3 linked regions of the Macaca fascicularis genome follow. The protein of the gene in region 2 interacts with the protein of the main gene of each other region in a pairwise test. Links are inferred from orthologs where the notes say so. Each region holds a gene or a part of one and is shown on either strand. Other genes may lie near its edges. The genes, in order: HMOX2, CEP126 and NUDT21.

Region 1 (7,088 bases), on a different chromosome or scaffold from region 2:
GCGTGCTGGCGCACACCTGTAATCCCAGCTACTCGGGAGGCTGAGGAAGGAGAATCACCTCCCAGAAGGCAGAGGTTGCAGTAAGCCGAGATGGCGCCACTGCACTCTAGCCTGGGTGACAGAGCAAGACTCCGGCTAAGAAAAAAAAAAAAAAAGGCCGGGCGCTGTGGCTCACGCCTGTTAATACCAGCACTTTGGGAGGCCGAGGTGGGTGGATCACCTGAGGTCAGGAGTACGAGACCAGCCTGGCCAACACAGTGAAACCTCATCTCTACTAAAAATACAAAAATTAGCCAGGCATGGTGGCATACAGCTGTAATCCCAGCAACTCAGGAGGCTGAGGCTGGAGAATAGCTTGAACCCAGCAGGCTGAGATTGCAGTGAGCTGAGATTGTGCCACCACACTCCAGCCTGGATGACAGAGCAAGACTGTCTCAAAGAAAAAAAAAAAAAGGCCGGGCCCGGTGGCTCACGCCTGTAATCCCAGCACTTTGGGAGGCCGAGGCGGGAAGATCACAAGGTCAGGAAATCGGGACCATCCTGGCTAACACGGTAAAACCCCGTCTCTACTAAAAATACAAAAAATTAGCCAGGCGTGGTGGCGGGCACCTATAGTCCCAGCTACTCGGGAGGCTGAGGCAGAAGAATGGCGTGAACCCGGGAGGCAGAGCTTGCAGTGAGCCGAGATCGTGCCACTGCACTCCAGCCTGGGCAACAGAGCAAGACTCCGTCTCAAAAAAAAAAAAAAAGAAGAATAAGAAAAAGGCAGGCTGGGTACAAGACACCAGCCTGTTATGCCATTCTTCCCCACAGCCTTTTTAAAGTTACTGAGAACTATGACAGTAATTAGGCCTATTCCTGGGAAGGAAACGAATCTATTTGTGAAACAAAAATTAATTTTTTCCCTAAGCCAAGTGAAGGGAATATCCACTTCGTTGGCCTCTGATATACACACTGACAGCACAGTTCACCACACAACAATCACCTCTTCCGGCGTCCCTTTCCTCAGGTATTCTATTCGCTTACCGCTCTATCTTCCCTGCTAGTCCACTCCCTCCTCTTTCCAGCCTGTGCCTTAGACAAGGACCCCAAACAAGAATCACCCGAGAAACTCCAAAAACAGGTTCCCAGTCATAATCCCAATTTTACCAAAAAAGAAAGGTTTGGAAAACCCTTAGATCAACAAGCAGCATCCAAAGACACCAAAAACTTAGGCTCACTAAGTATTAACTTCCTGCCTCAGCCTCCCAGGTAGCTGAGATTATAAGCATGTGCTAGCATCCCACTTATTGTTCACGCTAATATAATTTTTTTTTTTCTTTGAGACGAAGTTTCGCTCGTCGCCCAGGCTGGAGTGCAATGGCACGATCTCAGCTCACTGCAACCTCTGCCTCCTGGCTGCAAGCAATTTTCCTTCCTCAGTCTCCCGAGTAGCTGGGATTACAGGCTACTTTTTGCAAGGCTAATTTTCGTATTTTTAGTAGAGACAGGGTTTCACCATGTTAGCCAGGCTGGTCTCGAAATTGCAAGGCTAATTTTTGTATTTTTAGTGGAGACGGGGTTTCAACATGTTAGCCAGGCTGGTCTCGAACTCCTGACTTCAGGTGATCCACCCGCCTCGGTCTCCCAAAGTGCTGGGATTACAGGCGTGAGCCACCGCACCCAGTCTAGGTCAAGTTTTTAATCTGTTTTCTCTCCAAGGACTTAGAAGCTGAATTTCAAATTTTACACTGAAATACACAATTCTAATTTTTTTTTTTTTTTTTTTTTTTGAGACAGAGTCTCGCTCTGTCGCCCAGGCTGGAGTGCAGTGGCCGGATCTCAGCTCACCGCAACCTCCGCCTCACAGGTTCAAGTGATTCTCCTGCCTCAGCCTCTCAAGTAGCTCAGATTATAGGCACGTGCCACCATGCCCAGCTAATTTTTTTTTTTTTTTTTTTTTTTTTTAGTAGAGACAGGATTTCTCCATGTTGGTCAGGCTGGCCTCTATCTCCTGACCTCAGGCGATCCACCCACCTCGGCCTCCCAAAGTGCTGGGATTACAGGCGTGAGCCACTGCGCTGGACCCACAATTCTAATTTTCAAAGTATATCACCCTCCTGGAGGAGTGATATTCCAGTTTTGGGTGCAATCCTGATGTAGAGCCCAAATGTCCTGTGAAGAGAGTCAGCTGTTAAAAGGAAACCAAAAAATCAAAGTAGCTCTAGCTGTCCAATTTTACAAGTTTTCAACAGATTTGATGGGGGTGAGCTAAAGGCAGTCAATGCTTTATTGTCTGTAACTCATTGGCACTGGCATTTCTAGAGTTGCTCATGTTCCCCCTTTTGGTGACTCACAGCATTTCAAAATGTTGCCACAGCAAAGGAAAAAAGGAAATCAAGTCAGACAATGGAGGAATCACAGGATTTCCCTCTTCACATCCCCATTTAGATGAGGTCATTCAATGAGTGTGTGTGTTTCCAAGGCTCTACAAATTCCCACACCCTCACCAGCGTTTAAACCTAAATGTTGTCTCTGATAACTTTTTCTAATTTTACCAAGTAAGCTTTTATATGTCTTATTTAACTGTGAACTCCTGGTAAGCACAAATTTTGTCTTGTGATATTTATTTTTTCTTTTTTGAGACAGGGTCTCACTCTGTCACCCAAGCTGGAGTGCAGTGATGCGATCTCAGCTCACTGCAACCTCCACTTCCTGGGCTCAAGTGATCCTTCAAAATCAACCTCCCCAGTAGCTGGGATTACAGGCACGCGCCACCCTGCCCATTTAATTCTTTGTATTTTTAGTAGAGACGGGGTTTCATCATGTTGACCAGGCTGGTCTCTAAGTCCTGACCTCAGGTGATCCGCCTACATCGGCCTCCCAAAGTGCTGGGATTACAGGCGTGAGCCACCCTGCCCAGCCTAAGCTGAGTCTTAACACTGACCTCGTTTTACACGTGGAAAAATGATCAGCTCGCAAGGCTTTGCAAGGGGCTGAGAGGAGAGGGCTTCCTCCAGTGGAAAGTATTATGCAGTGCTTTTTTTTCTTTTTTTGAGATGGAGTCTCGCTCTGTCGCCCAGGCTCTGCCTCCCAGGTTCAAGGGATTCCTGCCTCAGCCTCCCGAGTAGCTGGGATTACAGGCATGCCCCAACACCTCAGGCTAATTTTTGTATTTTTAGTAGGGACGGAGTTTCACCATGTTGACCAGTCTGATCTCGGACTCCTGACCTCAAGCAATCCGCCAGGCCCGGCCTCCCAAAGTGCTGGAATTACAGGCGTGAGCCACCGCCCCGGCCCAGACGCGATTTAAATGGCATGACACAGGCAGGCCTCGTGCAAAGACTGCAAGGAGGTCCTGGCAGCTTCTGCAGGGTAATTAATGCACCCAGAGCACTGCGCTCAGAAGGTGACAGGTAAACCCATGTCCGGACTAACCGGCTACCCCCACACTTGATCCCTCCCAGTCCGACTCTGCTCCAAGCTGTACCAGGGTTCACTCGTGAAGTCACGACACCCACTCAAGGGGCACTTCCTATAGAGATAAGGGCACTGGAGGAAGGGCAGAGACCCGGCCAGTGCCAATAGCCCGGGAAGCCGCTAAGCCGGGCTCCAATCTCTGCCGGCATCCCCTGTCAGCACCGCCGACGTCCCCAGCTACGACCCCGGGGGTCACCTCGCCCAGCACGGCCGTGACGCTGGGAGGCGGTGGGCCCAACGGGGACGCCAAAGCAAGCCGCTCAGGCCTCCCCGCGCCCCCGGGGAGACGATTTTAGAGAGCGGCGTCCGGGGTTTCGCCCTCCCCTGACAGCCCCTCCACGCTCGTCTTCGTCCTTCTGCCCGGCCTCACTCAGCTTCCGGCCTGCCCGCTCTCCCCTCAGACCCGCGCCGGGGACGCAGAGGGCTGTGGCCTGGTTGAGCCCAGGTACGAAGGCCTGCACCGAGGCAGTGCCCGCGAAGGACGCGGCGCAGTCCGAGGAGCCGGGCGGAAGGAAGGCCCCGGGAGGGCGCAGACAGCTCACCTGCCGCAGGTCGCTGTGGCCCGTCAGCCAGCCTCCACTCAGCTTGCCCGTCAGCGACTCCCTCAGGCGCCGCAGTCCCCGCAGCCCAGCGGACTGGCGCGAAGGCCGGTGCAACGTTGGCACGCAGCGCGGGGCGGGGCCTAGGGAGGACACGCCCCTTGTAGCTGACACGCCCTTGCGGGGGGCGGGAGGCGGAGCATGTGGCTTTCTCCAGGTGTCTGAAGGCTGCAGGCTCAGGCTCTGCTCAGCAGGGTAAGTAGGGGTGCTTCGGCAGGAACGCTAGTGTTCACAAGAGCCGAGGTGTGTGAGGGTGCCTCAGGGCTGAGCACTTTTCTTCCCCAGTGTGGTTTAATCCTTTTACATCCGCTCAGTGATGTAAGAAATAGGGTTGTCAATCGTGGCACCACCCACTTGCTCACTTGCCAATGCAATCTGCGAAACTGAGTCTCAACTCCGACACATCGGTTACCAGTCTTGTATCTGATCTCCCTGTTGCATTATGGGCATTCTTCTAACAGCAGCCAGAATGACAGAATGATTTTTTTTTTTTTTTTTGGAGATGGAGTTTTGCTCTTGTCACCCAGGCTGGAGTGCAATGGCGTGATCTCGGCTCATTGCAACCCCTTTCCCCCGGGTTCAAGCGATTCTCCTCCTCAACCTCCCGAATAGCTGGGATTACAGGCGCGTGCCACCACGCCCGGCTAATTTTTGTATTTTTAATAGAGACGGGGTTTCACCATGTTGGCCAGGCTGGTCTTGAACTCCTGAACTCAGGTGATCCACCCGCCTTGGCCTCCCAAAGTGCTGGGATTACAGGCGTGAACCACCATGTCTGGACTTTTTTTTTTTTTTTTTTTGAGACAGGGTCTGGTTGTGTCGCCCAAGCTGGAGTGTAATGGTGCAATCAGAGTTCTCTGCAGCCAGGAACTCCTGTGCTCAAGCCATCCTCCTGCCTCAGCCTTCCAAGTAACTTGGACTGAAGGCATGCACCACCACGCCAGGGAATTTTTTACTTTTTGTAATCCCAGCACTATGGTAGGCAGAGGCAAGAGGATTGCTCGAGTGCAGGAGTACAAGACCAGCCTGGGCAACATAGGAAGACCCCGTCTCTACAAAAAAATGTAAACATCAGTCTGAGGTGGTGGTGTGTGCCTATAGTCCCAGCCACTTGGGAGGCTGAGGTGGGAGGACTGCTTGAGCCTAGAAGTTCCTAGGCTGCAATGAGCTGTGATGGTGCCACCTTACTCCAGCCTGGGCAACAGAGTGAGGATATGTCTTTTCCAAAAAAAAAAGTCACCAGAGATATGAATATGAATACATAGCTCAGATAGGACGCAATGGCTGACTGCTGTATTTTTTTTTTTTTTTTTTTTTTATGAGATGGAGTCTCAGGCTGTCGCCCAGGCTGGAGTGCAATGGCGCAATCTTGGCTTACTGCAGCCTCCTCCCCGGTTCAAGCAATTCTCCTGCCTCAGCCTCCTGAGTAGCTGGGATTACAGGCGCCTGCCACCACGCCCGGCTAATTTTTTGTATTTTTTTTAGTAGAGACGGGGTTTCACTATGTTGGCCAGGCTGGTCTTGAACTCCTGACCTTGTGATCCGCCCGCCTTGGCCTCCCAAAGTGCTGGGATCACAGGCGTGAGCCATGGAGCCCAGCCCAATTTTTGTTTTTTTTTTATTTTTTTATTCTTTTTTTGAGACCGAGTCTCGCTCTGTCGCCCAGGCTGGAGTGCAGTGGTGCGATCTCCACTCACTGCAAGCTCCGCCCCCCGGGTTGATGCCATTCTGCCTCAGCCTCCCGTGTAGCTGGGACTACAGGTGCCCGCCACCGTGCCCGGCTAACTTTTTGTATTTTTAGTAGAGATGGGGTTTCTTTTTTTTTTTTTTTTTTTTGAGACGGAGTCTCACTCTGTCGCCCAGGCGGGAGTGCAGTGGCCGGATCTCAGCTCACTGCAAGCTCCGCCTCCTGGGTTTACGCCATTCTCCTGCCTCAGCCTCCTGAGTAGCTGGGACTACAGGCGCCCGCCGCCTCGCCCGGCTAGTTTTTTGTATTTTTTAGTAGAGACGGGGTTTCACCGGGTTAGCCAGGATGGTCTCGATCTCCTGACCTCATGATCCGCCCGTCTCGGCCTCCCAAAGTGCTGGGATTACAGGCTTGAGCCACCGCGCCCGGCCTGAGACGGGGTTTCACAGTGTTAGCCAGGGTGGTCTCGATCTCCTGACCTCGCGATTCGCCGGTCTTGGCCTCCCAAAGTGCTGGGATTACAGGCGTGAGCCACCGTTCCTGGCCAAATTTTTGTATTTTTAGTAGAGACAGTTCACCATATTGGCCAGGCTGGTCTCAAACTCCTGATCGCAAGTGATCCACCCCCATTGGCCTCCCAGTGGTTTTTTTTGTTTGTTTTCAAAGACAATGGGGTCTTCCTATGTTGTCCAGACTGGTGTGGAATGCCTGGAAGCAATCCTCCCACTTGGACCTCCCGAAGTGCTGAGATTACAAATGTGAGCCAGGTTACCAGCCTGCTGTCTCATTTTAACGTCTCTCTGGGCCTTGTATTTTAAAAGGACTCACATTCCTCAGATAAAAATTTATTTTCTTGGCCAGGTGCGGTGACTCACGCCTGTAATCCCAGCTGTTTGGGAGGCTGAGGCAGGTGGATCACCTGAGGTCAGTTCAAGACCAGCCTGGCCAACATGGTGAAACCCCATCTCTACTAAAAAAAAATACAAAAAATTAAACGGGCGTGGTGGTGGGCACCTGTAATCCCAGCTACTCGGCAGGCTGAGGCAGACCCAGGTTCCAGCCTGGGCAACAACAGCGAAACTCCATCTCAAAAAAAAAAAAATTATTTTCTCAAACTCGAATTAATGTCCACACTGAAGTGTTTAAGGGTGAAGGGCACTGGTGTCTGCAACTCACTTTAAATGCATTTAAAAAGTAAGATAGTTGATGAGTGGATAGATGGATAAATATATCTACGTGGTAAGTATATGGGAGTTCACCATTCAGCTCTTTCAACTTTTCTGTATGTTTACACATTTTCTTTTTTTTTTTTTTGAGACGGAGTCTCGCTCTGTCGCCCAGGC
Region 2 (6,613 bases):
CTATTTTCCTCATGAACACTCAATGTAGATCCATGGAGAAGAATCTGAGTAGGTGTGAAGTTCCCTTGTGCCTATGGCTCCCAGAGGTTCTACATCCTCACAGTAGTCCACATTCATCTTTTAGCAATCTGTTGAAAATTTAAACAGAATTTCTAAGATCAGCTTGATGGAACCCGACATTTCCCTCTCTCATATTCTCCCATGGGTGAGAAAATGTTCACGACCTGTCTCTCTTTAGATGTTTATGTGTTTTCTTGGATGCTAGGCTACTTGGTTGTGAGGCGACCTCAGCTCTCTAATTGGCTCAAGAAAAGTTATACTTTTGCCATTTATCTTTTATTGTTCTTCGAATGGGATTGATACATTCTGGCCTTCTGCATTTTAGGAGGAAATATGTGTGTGGTTCTGAACCATAGGTGATTTTTGCCACCCAGGGGATATTTGGTAAAGTCTAGGAGCACTTGTCATGATAGGGAAGTGCTATGGCATCTAGTGGGTAGAGGCCAGAGATGCTGCTAAACATGTTACAATGCACTAGACAGTCTCCCACAATAAAGCATTATCCAGCTCAAAATGTCAACGGTGCTGAGGTAGAGAAAACCTGATAGATACACAAAGTATTTCTATTGTTGTTCAGATCTAAATATTTAGAAATTCCTATTATTTTTTTTTCTTCAGAATCATGATTTATTTAGAAACTTGTTTCTTAATGGTTATCTTTTAGTTAGTAGATTTTAGGTAAATTGCATTGTGGTTAGAGGATGTGGGCTGTGTGACTCCGATCCTTTGAAACGTGTTAAGGCTCGTTTCATGGTCTTATATATGATTCATTTTATAAAGATTGTATGTTCACTTACAAAGAACATGTCCCTTTGATCAGTTTTGTTAATCATATTTAATTTTTATACATCTATTTGATTTTTAAAATCTATTTGTTCTATCAATTACTAACAATGGTATGTTAAAATCACCTACGATGGTTAAAATTATTTTATATATTTTGAGGCTGTGTTCTTAAGTGCATATAAAAATCTTATGTATTTCTTCTGAAGTAAGACTTTGCTCATCATAAAGTGATTTTTTTTTTTTTTTGAGACGGAGTCTCGCTCTGTTGCCCACTTGGAGTGCAGTAGCGCGATCTCGGCTCACTGCAACCTCCACCTCCCAGGTTCAAGCGATTCTCCTGCCTCAGCCTCCTGAGTAGCTGGGACTACAGGCACGCACCAACACACTCAGATAATTATTGTATTTTTAGTAGAAACGGGCTTTCACCGTGTTGGCCAGGATGGTCTCGATCTCTTGACCTTGTGATCTGCCTGCTTCGGCCTCCCAAAGTGCTGGGATTACAGGAGTGAGCCACTGCACCTGGCCCAAAGTGATACTTTTTATGTCTAATAATGCTTTCTATTTAAAAGTGAATCAAAACCAGCTTTCCTTTGGTTAAAACTTGCTTGGCATACCTTTTCCATCTTTTTTTGCTTTCAGTTTTTTAATATCCTTATGTTTTAAATATATTGTTTATAAACAGAATATAGTTTCAACGTAAAGTTCCATTTAACAACCTCTTTCAACTGTACCACTTACTACATTTACAATTATTGTAAATATACTCCTACATATAATCTTACAGTATTTCTTCTATGTTTATTTTTCTCTCCTTTGTTGCTTTATTTCAGATTGATTTGTCAGCTTTTATGTGCCACTTTTCCTTCTCTACCAGATTGGAAGTTGTATATTACATTTCTAGTTCTTTAGTTGTGACTCTAGTAATTATCACAGGCATACTTCAGTTATCAATATCTAACTTTAATCTAGGACTTTACCCAATTCCCTAACAATATAAACATCCTACTATACTTTAACTCCATTTATGCCCTCTCAACTTATGTACTATTATTGATAGGTATTTTAATTCTAACCTTTTTATCTCTGAAACATATACTACTTTATTATATTTATTGTTTTATGCAGTGTTTGTTGAAATTTACTCTCTCAGACTGTCCATCTGAGGTTAACTGCACTTTCTGCCTGGTGAAGTGCGGTGAGAATTTTCTTTAGCAAGTCTGCTGTTAACAAAGTCTCTTGGTTTTTGTCTGAACATATTTTTAATTCACCCCTCTTCTTGAGAGACATTTTCATGTTAAGAAGGTATTAAATGGCTGGGCGTGGTGGCTCACGCCTATAATCCCAGCACTTTGGGAGGCTGAGGAGAGTGGATCATGAGGTCAAGAGATCGAGACCATCCTGGCTAACACGGTGAAACCCCCTCTCTACTAAAAAATACAAAAAATTAGCCAGGCGTGGCAGCGGGCGCCTGTAGTCCCAGCTACTCGGGAGGCTGAGGCAGGAGAATGGCATGAACCTGGGAGGTGGAGCTTACAGTGAGCTGAGATGGAACCATTGCACTCCAGCCTGGGCGACAGAGCGAGACTCCATCTCAAAAAAAAGAAGGTATTAAATTTGAAAGTTACTTTCTCTCAGCACATTAGACATGTTATCAATATCTTCTGAGTTTTTTTCATTGTTTTCTGCCTTTTTTGTTGCTGATTAAAATTAACTGTGATGTATCTTGTGGTAATTTCTTTTTATTTATTCTGAAATACGTTGGGTTGTTGAACTTGTAGGTTGGTATTGTTCATCAAATTGGAAAAGTTGTCAACCATTATCACTTTAGATATTGTTTCTGGCCTTTCAGGCTTTTTAATTTACTCTTTTGTGTCTCTTAAGCTCTATATCATATTTTCCATCTCTTTGTCTCTCTAAGATATATTGTGGATAAATTTCTTTGATTCGTGTTCTAGTTTACTAATTCTCTCTTCGGATGTCTGTAATCTGGTGGTTAACCCATCTACTAAATTTTATGTTTCAATTATTATATTTTCAATTTCCAGGCATTCTATTTGGGCCCTTTTTCAAATCTGTTTGTTCTTTCTTTATAGTTTCTTATTCCCTGCATGTTTAAGTTTAAAAATGACTGCATTTTTGCATTTTTTTTTTTTTTTTTTTTGAGACGGAGTCTCACGCTGTTGCCCAGGCTGGAGTGCAGTGGCGCGATCTCGGCTCACTGCAAGCTCCGCCTCCCGGGTTCCCGCCATTCTCCTGCCTCAGCTTCCTGAGTAGCTGGGACTACAGGCGCCCGCCACCGCGCCTGGCTAATTTTTTTTTGTATTTTTAGTAGAGACGGGGTTTCACTGTGGTCTCGATCTCCTGACCTTGTGATCCGCCCGCCTCGGCCTCCCAAAGTGCTGGGATTACAGGCTTGAGCCACCGCGCCCGGCCGAAAGCTTTTTTTTTTTTTTTTAGGAAAAATTCCCTCTTCCTGTGCTGCCTCCTGTGTGTGTGCATGTGTGGTGCTGCCTCCTCTGTGTGTGCATGTGTGGTGCTGCCTCCTGTGTGTGTGCATGTGTGGTGCTGCCTCCTGTGTGTGTGCATGTGTGGTGCTGCCTCCTCTGTGTGTGCATGTGTGGTGCAGAGCTCGTTGGGTGGCCCAGCTTTATGATGAAAAGATCTTCTATGAGACTACTCATCTTGAGTAGGCCTGTTCCCTTTTTCCTATGAGGCCATGGAAAGCAAAGTTCAATTTCACTCCATGAGTTAAATATCCTCAGGACAAGAGCTAGCTGCAGCACTCTTCTTATTTTTTGAGTTCTTGTCTACATTTAGTTCTTGGTCTTAAGCATTTCTTACATTCTTACTAGATCATCACTATATTGCAGATTTAAAAAATACTTAATCAAGCATTTATGGTTGTTTTGATGGATGGTCAGTATAGGTACGTAGCCTGTCCATTGCTGAAACAGAAGTCTATTCATATATTCCAAAAAGACGGGTAAGTCTGCCAAATAAGTTGACATCATCACAAATGATATGGCATACTTGAACTAGTATTCAAATATGTTCTGAATGGTTATACACTCAATTAAGTCATATGGATACATTTTGTATTTTTCCTTTCAATTTTTAAATTAAAGTTTAAATTAAAATTATCTAAGTGAAAAATGCAGTATTTCTTATAAGAGGTGTTCTTCCATACTTACAATGTAGTCTTTCATTGAGATCATTAAGGGACTCTAGGATCTTCTGTTCTTCAGCTGATAGTGTGCAGATGTTGAATTGTTGAGTTTTACTTAAAGGTAGATTTGATTTCTGTATCTGTTTGCTATTCAAGACAGTCAGAATCTCATCCTCCGGCACTGATGCTTTCACTAAGTTTTCAGCCATCAAAAACTCAGAAGTACTATCTGAAACTACAGAAACTTACATCAGTTATTCTTTGATCCCCTTTTGTCTTTGAGATCAGCCCTTATACATACTTACACATACTTAACTGTCTGTATGTATTCATATTACAAATAGAAACCTAGTAAATATCTGCTACTTTGATTTCATCTATCAGGATTCTCTATCTAGCATTTTCCCATCCTTCATTTTTAAAAAAAGGATATTGAAAATGAAAGCAGTGAGTTAATAAAAATTCCCAGAGTATGACTTAACTAAAGAAAAAAATATTTAATGTAGATAGTTTTTGTAATATGTTTATTATTCATTGGTCGTACAAAAAAGATGACAGAGACCGTTTTTATAATAGTAGTTATAATGAATTATAAAAAAGTAAGACACAAAAAAGCTTAAGGAAACATTAGAAACTTTGATGATCAGCTGAACAGAACTGACAGCCTAGAAACAGATCCAGTTAGATATAAGAACATGTGATCAAAGAAGCATCAAAGACTTGACAGAAGGGAAAGATGATTTTATAAATTAGTTGTTGCTTATAAAAGAATCAATTTGGGCTGGGTGCAGTGGCTCATGCCTCTAATCCCAGCACCTTGGAAGGCTGAGGCGGGTAGTTCACTTGAGGTCAGGAGTTCGAGAGCAGCCTGGCCAATGTGGTGAAACCTCGTCTCTACTAAAAATACAAAAATTAGCCAGGTGTTATTGTGGGCGCTTATAATCCCAGCTACTTGGAAGGCTGAGGCAGGAGAAGCACTTGAACCTGGGAGGTGGAGGTTGCAGTGAGCTGAGATTACGCTACTGTGCTCCAGCCTCGGTGACAGACTCTGTCTCAAAAAAAAAAAAAAAAAAAAAAAAAATCAATTCGTAGTTTTATTTCCCACTGTTTGTTAAAACAAATTCCAAAGACATTAAAGACAAACTTAAGGAATCAACCCATTAATTAAAGCAACCCTGAAGAAAATGAAACAAATGTTTCTGAATTTCTATATTGGGAAGGTTCTTCGACAAAGCTTAAAAGTAATAGAGAAATCAGTAAAAAAAAAAAAGACTAAAACATGTTTATTTAAAGCCAGTCTTCTCTAATATACTTTAAATTTCTGAAGAGCAATACTTTTGTATGTTTTGTTCATTATTATAAATGTTAAGTATTACTTATCCAAAAATGCTTGGGACTAGATGTGTTTCAGGTTTTGGATTTTTTTAGAATTTTGGATATTTGCACATACATGAGACATGTTGGTGATGAGACCTAGGTTTAAACATGAAACTCGGCTGGGTGTGGTGGCTCATGCCTGTAATCCTGGCACTTTGGGAGGCTGAAGTGGGTGGATCACCTGAAGTCAGGAGTTCAAGACCAGCCTGGCCAACATGGTGAAGCCTCGTCTCAACTAAAAATACAAAAATTACCCAGGTGTGGTGGCACACGCCTGTCATCCCAGCTACTTGGGAGGCTGATGCAGGAGAATTGCTTGAACTTGAGAGGTGGAGGTTGCAATGAGCTGAGATTGCACCACTGCACTCTATCCTAGGTGACAGAGTGAGACTCTGTTTCAAAAAAAAAAAAAAAAAAAAAAGAAACTCATTTATGTTTCGTATATACCTTATACACACACCTGAGGTAATTTTATGTAACATTTTAAATAATTTTGTCCATGAAACGAAGTTGGTGTATACTGAACCATCAGAAAGCAAAGCTGTCACTGTATCAGCAATCTATGTGGATGATCTGTGGTTGTCTGGCATCACTGTTATTCCTGACTCCGAATTTATATCTACTGAAAAGCAATGATGTTCTTACACCTATTCACACATAAGTACTTAACAGTAAAAAATAAGATGTATCCTTCATACCCTGAGAAAATAATGTGTTCAGAGCAACTAAGCACCACAGTAACATCACCAGAATTCCTGTGTCAGCTGTTCAGCAACAGCAACAAGGAACAATGGCAGGCTTCCAACCTTAGGTATTATGTTACATTTTGATCAAATGGTTACTGTACACTGTATTTTCTTTTTTTAGGTGAGAAGAAACATCAGAAGCAGCTGAGGCACAAGGAAGTGGGTCCTCTAGGGATGAGGAAATATTCTGCTAGATGACCTTAAAAACTGTTTCTTCCAGAGTCTTTTGCCTTAACATTTACAATGGTTTTTTTTTTTTTTTTTTTTTGGTCTTTGATTTTATAAACCGGCATAATTTCTTCTTGTTATGAGTGCATACTGCTCTAGTCGTTCAATAAACCCATCACACATTTTCATCATATTGTCAATTGGCACTTTTTTTTTTTTTTTTTGCAGTGTTAACAATGTCATTATCATCACTATTATCACAATCATCTTAATTCAGAGCTCTTTTGGCTATTTCACCATTGGTCAATGA
Region 3 (6,613 bases), on a different chromosome or scaffold from region 2:
CTGAGATGGGAGGACTTCTTCAGGCCAGGAGTTTGCGACCAGCCTGGGCAACATAGCAAGATCTCTATAAAAAAATTTTTTTTAATTAGCCAGGCATCGTGGCACACACCTGCAGTCCTAGCTACTCAGGACGCTGAGGCAGGAAGATTGCTTGAGCCCAGGAGTTTGTGGTTACAGTGAGCTATGATCACACCACCATCCTCTAGCCTGAGGAACAGAGTGAGACCCTGTCTCTAAAAAAAATAAATAAGCTTAGACCGCGCACGGTGACTCACATCTATAATCCCAGCACTTTGGGAGGCCAAAGCAGGCAGATCACCTGAGGTCAGGAGTTTGAGACCAGCCTGGCCAACATGGTGAAACCCCATCTCTACTAAAAATACAAAAATTAGCTGGGCATGGCAGTGGGCACCTGTAATCCCAGCTACTCTGGAGGCTGAGGCAGGAGAATCGCTTGAACCCAGGAGGCAGAGGTTGCTGTGAGCAACCATTGCTCACACTGGATATCACACCACTGCACCCCAGCCTGGGCAACAAGAGCAAAACTCTGACTCAAAAAAAATTTTTTTAAAATAAGCCCAATTGTTAACATCCTGTCAGCCTAATAGAAGTCCAAGAGTCTGACTATTCAGAATGGGAACTCTTGCTTATTCTTCCCCATCCCCTAAACTTTTTTCATTGCTACCTGTTCTCTGATTCAATTACTACAGAGAATCAATCATCAGCCAGTCTTTGCCTAATTACAGAGTGGGGAAGACAATCTAGATACACAGATTGAACATCCCAATCTGAAACTCCAAAATCTCAAACTTTTTGAGCACTGAAATGATGTTCAAAGGAAATGCTCAGGCCGGGTACGGTGGCGCACGCCTGTAATCCCAGCACTTTGGAAGGCCAAGGAAGGCGGATCACCTGAGGTCAGGAGTTCCAGACCAGCCTGGCCAACATGGTGAAACCCCGTCTCCACTAAAACTACAAAAATTAACCAGGCATGGTGGCAGGTGCCTGTAATTCCATCTACTGGGGAGGGTGAGGCAGGAGAATCGCTTAAACCCGGGAGGTGGATGTTACAGTGAGCCGAGATTACACCATTGCACTCTAGCCTGGGTGACAAGAGAGAGACGTCGTCTCAAGAAAAAAAAAAAAAAAAAGGAAATGTTCATTGCAGCATTTCAAGTTTTGTATATGGGATGCTTAACTGGTAAGCATAATGCAAATATTCCAAAACCTGAAAAAAAATCCCAAATCCTAATCACTTTTTTTTAAATTTTTTTGCATATATAGTAGATGTATATATGTATGGGGTACACAAGATGTTTTGATACAGGCATGCAATGCATAATATTCACATCATGGAGAACAGGGTATCCACCCCCTCAAGCATTTATCCTTTGTGTTACAAACAATCCAATTATACTCTTTTAGTTATTTTAAAATTTACAATTAAGTGATTACTGACTATAATCACCCTATTGTGCTATCAAATAGTAGCTAAACACTTCTGGTCCCAAGCTCTCAGACAGGGAATACTCAACCTGTATAAATATACTTCATATATACTTTGAACCAGTCCAGTTTTCAGCCCATGCATGCCCCCACTTTCATAAGTACCTAGCACCTTCAGTTCCTCAGTCATTCTGGTACTCTGCAGTGTTGGATTCTGCCTGCCTGTCTGTTGGACTAAGGTTTCTGCCAAGTTAGTTATAATTTGCCCATCTGTTTTCCAGTTTCCAAAAATTTTGCTTTTGTGAGTCTCTCATTTTGCACTCCCTCAATCCTACTGCACTTACATCTTTGTACCAGACATTACATAAATGGAAGTCCAAGCACAGTAAATGTTTAAGAGTTATAATACATTTTTAGAAATACTAGAAAGACAAACCAATAGGTCAAAAGTAGGAGAATTACAGGTGACTTTAGTTTTGTTTCTCCTTTGCTTTTCTGTGTTTGCCAAGCTTTTTGCACAGAGAATGTATGAGTTTTGTAAAGGGGGCAGGCGGCAACTGCATGTTAAAGAAGAAAACAAACATTGAAAACAACTTACAGTCTCAAAATCCTCAGTATCTATGCATTTGGCCCCAAGTCTTTACATGCAGGCATTACAATGATTTTTTAAAAGTAGAATAATTTGGGCAAAGTCTAAAAAATATGTGAAAAAAGTGAAAACACAGGCGTCTTTCTCTTTTCAAAATTCCATAGAGGCCTACTCTTGAACAAAACTACCTGCATTCAAACCTCTAGCTCTACAACACACTAGCTATATAACAAGAAGTAATTTAAACTTATTAATATCTGCTTCCTAGAGTTGTGGTGGTGATTAAAGGAATTAGCACATGTAAAGCACTTAGAACAGTGTCTAGCACAGTAATACTTAAATGTCAGTTTTTATCATTGCTGTGACACAGTTTAACATTTTAAAAATTGAAGTAAGTGTAAGTTCAACTTGTAAAAAAAATCAACATTGTACTAACATTCTGGGGTTTAAGTTGTATTTATTGAAAACTCAATATTCCAAAATAAACATCCTTTTTACAAGACATTAAAAGCCAAATTAACTATTAAGTTGATGGTATGCAAAGTTAGGTTAAACAGAAAAATACCTCTGTCATTAAGCGTTTTAGTCCTTCAACTTCATCTTCTCCTGGGTTAAGTTCACCACCAGGTCTGTATAAAAGTTAAGAATTTCAGCTTTCAACTTAATGCAATTTGGAGATAACAAAGAACACAATAAATGTTATGTCTATCAAGTCACTAAGTAACATATTTCAGTGTAATAAGGCAATCAAAACAAGTATCAAAGTGAAGGGGGAGAATATGCTTGAATTCATGTCAATTCCCCAGACTAACAGTATACAAACCCTAGGTTTTTTTCCTCTTTGTATATATTTATTTTTATTTTATTGTCGATTCAAGGGGTACATGTACAAGTTTATTACATAGGTATATTGTGTAATGCTAAGGTTTAGGCTTCTAGTGAACCAATCACCAAAACAGTGAACATAACATCTAACAGGAAGTATTTCAACTCTCGCCTCTCCCTCCCGCTCCCCACCTTTGGAGTATACAGTGTTCATTTTTTCCAACTTTATGTCCATATGTACCCATCACATAAACCCTAGTTTTAAACCAACAGAATACATAACATAGCACAAACATAAACAAAATTGCTAACCACCAGTCCATCCCAATCTCGTCTCTGGAAGCTATCTGATGATAATGGAGTCTAGAAATGCCCAGAGAGGAATGGATCATATTCTTTAGGCCTAAACAATGGGACACTTTTTCAAGAGCGCCATCTAAGTATTGGAGACCTTTCTTTTTGGTATAATCTAGTCAAATAGTTGTGGATCAAATGTTTGAGAGATGCAGGAGCTTAAATGACAAAAAAATAAACTGTTATCCACAAAAACCTAAGTCATCTTAAGAATAGGAAATGCAAATCATACCAAGAAAGAAATACCAATTGTTCTTGGTGATGCTACAATGACATCTAGACATTGATCTTGAACTCAACTATTCCACAGGGTTTCTACCAAGCTCAATCACTAACATCGACAACATATAGAAACACGCAGATTACTAGTTAGGAAAATAAACGAGCACCGCAATGGAGAAAAATTACTCGTGATTTTCTCTTTTTAAAGACATCATTAACAGCAGTGTTTGTTGAAATAAATGACCGAGGGCTAAAATTGTAGTCCACAGCTGCATAAACAGCAATCCTACTAAAAACTGTCTTGCTGTTAATTTCCAACACTACTTACAGTTTGAAGAAAGTTGTTCCCAGCTGTAGCAGTAACACATGGGGTAGCCGGTGCTCATGTACAATCAGAACCCCTTCTACAGTCCTCCTCATTCCAATTTTATCAAATTCTTCCCTCATGCGCTGAAATCTGGCTGCCACAGAGCTGTCCTTCTCATAGAGGGGCTCTTTTGTACCAAAAGTATAATTGGTAAGAGGGTACCTGTGATCCAAAGACAAACATCTAACATGAGAACTGAAGAATATAATTTACCATGACAGACATTAGCATAAAGAAACCACAGTACAAAAAAAAAGTGCATATGTTGTACTCAGAGACACAGGATTTGTACAGTTACATAACTAAAGTTAATGAGACAGTAGAGATTGGAATCTTGTTCTCTGGACTCTTAAAGCCAGAGCTTCCGGCCGGGCGCGGTGGCTCAAGCCTGTAATCCCAGCACTTTGGGAGGCCGAGACGGGCGGATCACGAGGTCAGGAGATCGAGACCATCCTGGCTAACACGGTGAAACCCCGTCTCTACTAAAAAAAAAAAATACAGAAAACTAGCCGGGCGAAGTGGCGGGCGCCTGTAGTCCCAGCTACTTGGGAGGCTGAGACAGGAGAATGGCGTGAACCCGGGAGGCGGAGCTTGCAGTGAGCTGAGATCCCGCCACTGCACTCCAGCCTGGGCGGTGGCTCAAGCCTGTAATCCCAGCACTTTGGGAGGCCGAGGCGGGCGGATCACAAGGTCAGGAGATCGAGACCACAGTGAAACCCCGTCTCTACTAAAAATACAAAAAATTAGCCGGGCGCGGTGGCGGGCGCCTGTAGTCCTAGCTACTCAGGAGGCTGAGGCAGGAGAATGGCGTGAACCCAGGAGGCGGAGCTTGCAGTGAGCCGAGATCGCGCCACTGCACTCCAGCCTGGGCAACAGCGTGAGACTCCGTCTCAAAAAAAAAAAAAAAAAAAAGCCAGAGCTTCCATGAGATCAAGCTACTCCTCCATACTTTAACTTTCAAGTGTAGATAACACTATCCTTAAATGCTTAGAGAAATGGTTATCTGAACATTAGTAATCCTCTGGTTTTAGACCATGGCTGCTATTCCAACAAGACCAATTTGGCTAATAATTAATGTCCCCCTGCATTCCTCTGACTACTAATCTAATCAGAAAGTTTTAATTATGGGTGCTAATGGCTAATCTCTTTTTTCTAAAACTAAGCCACCACTTTTCATCAACATCCCTCCAGTTATTTTCTATTTCTCTCAGTCAACTATCCTCAGATTTTTCTTGCACCACAGCCTTTCCTTTTCACAGCAACTCTTCTACTTTCTCTTTCTGTCCTCTAACCCTATTTACTAGCCTTGGGCATTTATTCTATTCAGTCTCCTTATTGTTTCCTTCTCCTCATCTGAATCTTCTACCCACCCCTTTACCAAGAATTTAAAATATGGCTCAAACTGTTAAAGACAGTTTTCATCTTGCCTAATAAGGATCAAATTTTTCTTTAAAGATACTTAAAAATTCCATACTTATATGTCGTACGCCCTTAATTAAAGCCTTACAGCAAGAAGCCTTTGAGTAAGAATTTACGCCACATTTGCCCACCTATAGTATCTATTCTACCAAAAGCCCTTGACATTAATAGTCAACATTATTGCATCTACTACACTCAGCCATTCTTGAAAGGGGAAAAAAATCAAGGTTGCCAAAACTTTAAAAATTACTTTAAGGCCGGGCGCAGTGGCTCAAGCCTGTAATCCCAGCACTTTGGGAGGCCAAGACGGGCGGATCACGAGTTCAGGAGATCGAGACCATCCTGGCTAACACGGTGAAACCCCGTCTCTACTAAAATACAAAAAAAAAAAATTAGCCGGGCGAGGTGGCGGGCGCCTGTACTCCCAGCTACTCGGGAGGCTGAGGCAGGAGAATGGCGTGAACCCGGGAGGCGGGGCTTGCAGTGAGCTGAGATCCGGCCACTGCACTCCAGCCTGGGCAACAGAGCTAGACTCCGTCTCAAAAAAAAAAAAAAAAAAAAAAAATTAATTTCAGAAGCCAAGTTCTAGGCATATGAAAAAGCTATAAAAGAATTAAAATATACCATTTCAAGGATGCTTTAAAGATTTAAAGAACATCCCCAGTAGACCCAAGGCTAAATCTAACACCATCATCCATAGCAGCGGCAGATATGCTACACAGCACGATGTGCCAGGCAATTTTTTCAAACGCTTTACATATATTAACATTTAATTCTCACAACCTGAGTTAGAAAGAATTAAGGATAGCCATTACACATCTCTGTTGCAAGAGCCAGCTCCAATATATCAGTAATGTCAAGATGAAATGTCAGAATTTTCACCTGTGAAATCAGAGTGCCAGCCCAGACATACATATTGTTCTCATCATACTGTGAGCTTCATAAAGCAGGGGCTACACCTTACTTCCTCACCACTGTATATCCAGTATTGTGCACAGTGCCTGGCACAAAGTAGGCATTCATGCAATATTTCCTGAAAGAAAATATACTGGGGAGGCCGGGTGCGGTGGCTCAAGCCTGTAATCCCAGCACTTTGGGAGGCCGAGACGGGCGGATCACGAGGTCAGGAGATCGAGACCATCTTGGCTAACCCGGTGAAACCCCGTCTCTACTAAAAAATACAAAAAACTAGCCGGGCGAGGTGGCGGGCGCCTGTAGTCCCAGCTACTCAGGAGGCTGAGGCCGGAGAATGGCGTAAACCCGGGAGGCGGAGCTTGCAGTGAGCTGAGATCCGGCCACTGCACTCCAGCCTGGGTGACAGAGCGAGACTCCGTCTCAAAAAAAAAAAAAAAAAAAAAAAAAAAAAAAGAAAATATACTGGGGAGAGCGCA

What was found.
Region 1: the proteins of CEP126 (region 2) and HMOX2 interact in a two-hybrid assay, tested with the Homo sapiens proteins (2 studies listed by BioGRID and IntAct). The link is inferred for Macaca fascicularis from reciprocal best matches to the Homo sapiens genes CEP126 and HMOX2.
Region 3: the proteins of CEP126 (region 2) and NUDT21 interact in a two-hybrid assay, tested with the Homo sapiens proteins (2 studies listed by BioGRID and IntAct). The link is inferred for Macaca fascicularis from reciprocal best matches to the Homo sapiens genes CEP126 and NUDT21.

The regions. Positions count from the first base shown.
Region 1 is NC_088394.1:5,287,945-5,295,032, reverse strand, and holds the start of HMOX2 (heme oxygenase 2), read right to left. Parts: upstream 4,097-7,088; 5' UTR 4,002-4,096; intron 1-4,001.
Region 2 is NC_088388.1:100,996,902-101,003,514, reverse strand, and holds part of CEP126 (centrosomal protein of 126 kDa), read right to left. Parts: intron 6,311-6,613; exon of another isoform or gene 6,257-6,310; intron 4,248-6,256; coding exon 4,038-4,247; intron 1-4,037. UniProt on the Homo sapiens protein: Participates in cytokinesis. Necessary for microtubules and mitotic spindle organization. Involved in primary cilium formation.
Region 3 is NC_088394.1:52,507,074-52,513,686, forward strand, and holds part of NUDT21 (cleavage and polyadenylation specificity factor subunit 5), read right to left. Parts: intron 3,966-6,613; coding exon 3,765-3,965; intron 2,665-3,764; coding exon 2,601-2,664; intron 1-2,600. UniProt on the Homo sapiens protein: Component of the cleavage factor Im (CFIm) complex that functions as an activator of the pre-mRNA 3'-end cleavage and polyadenylation processing required for the maturation of pre-mRNA into functional mRNAs.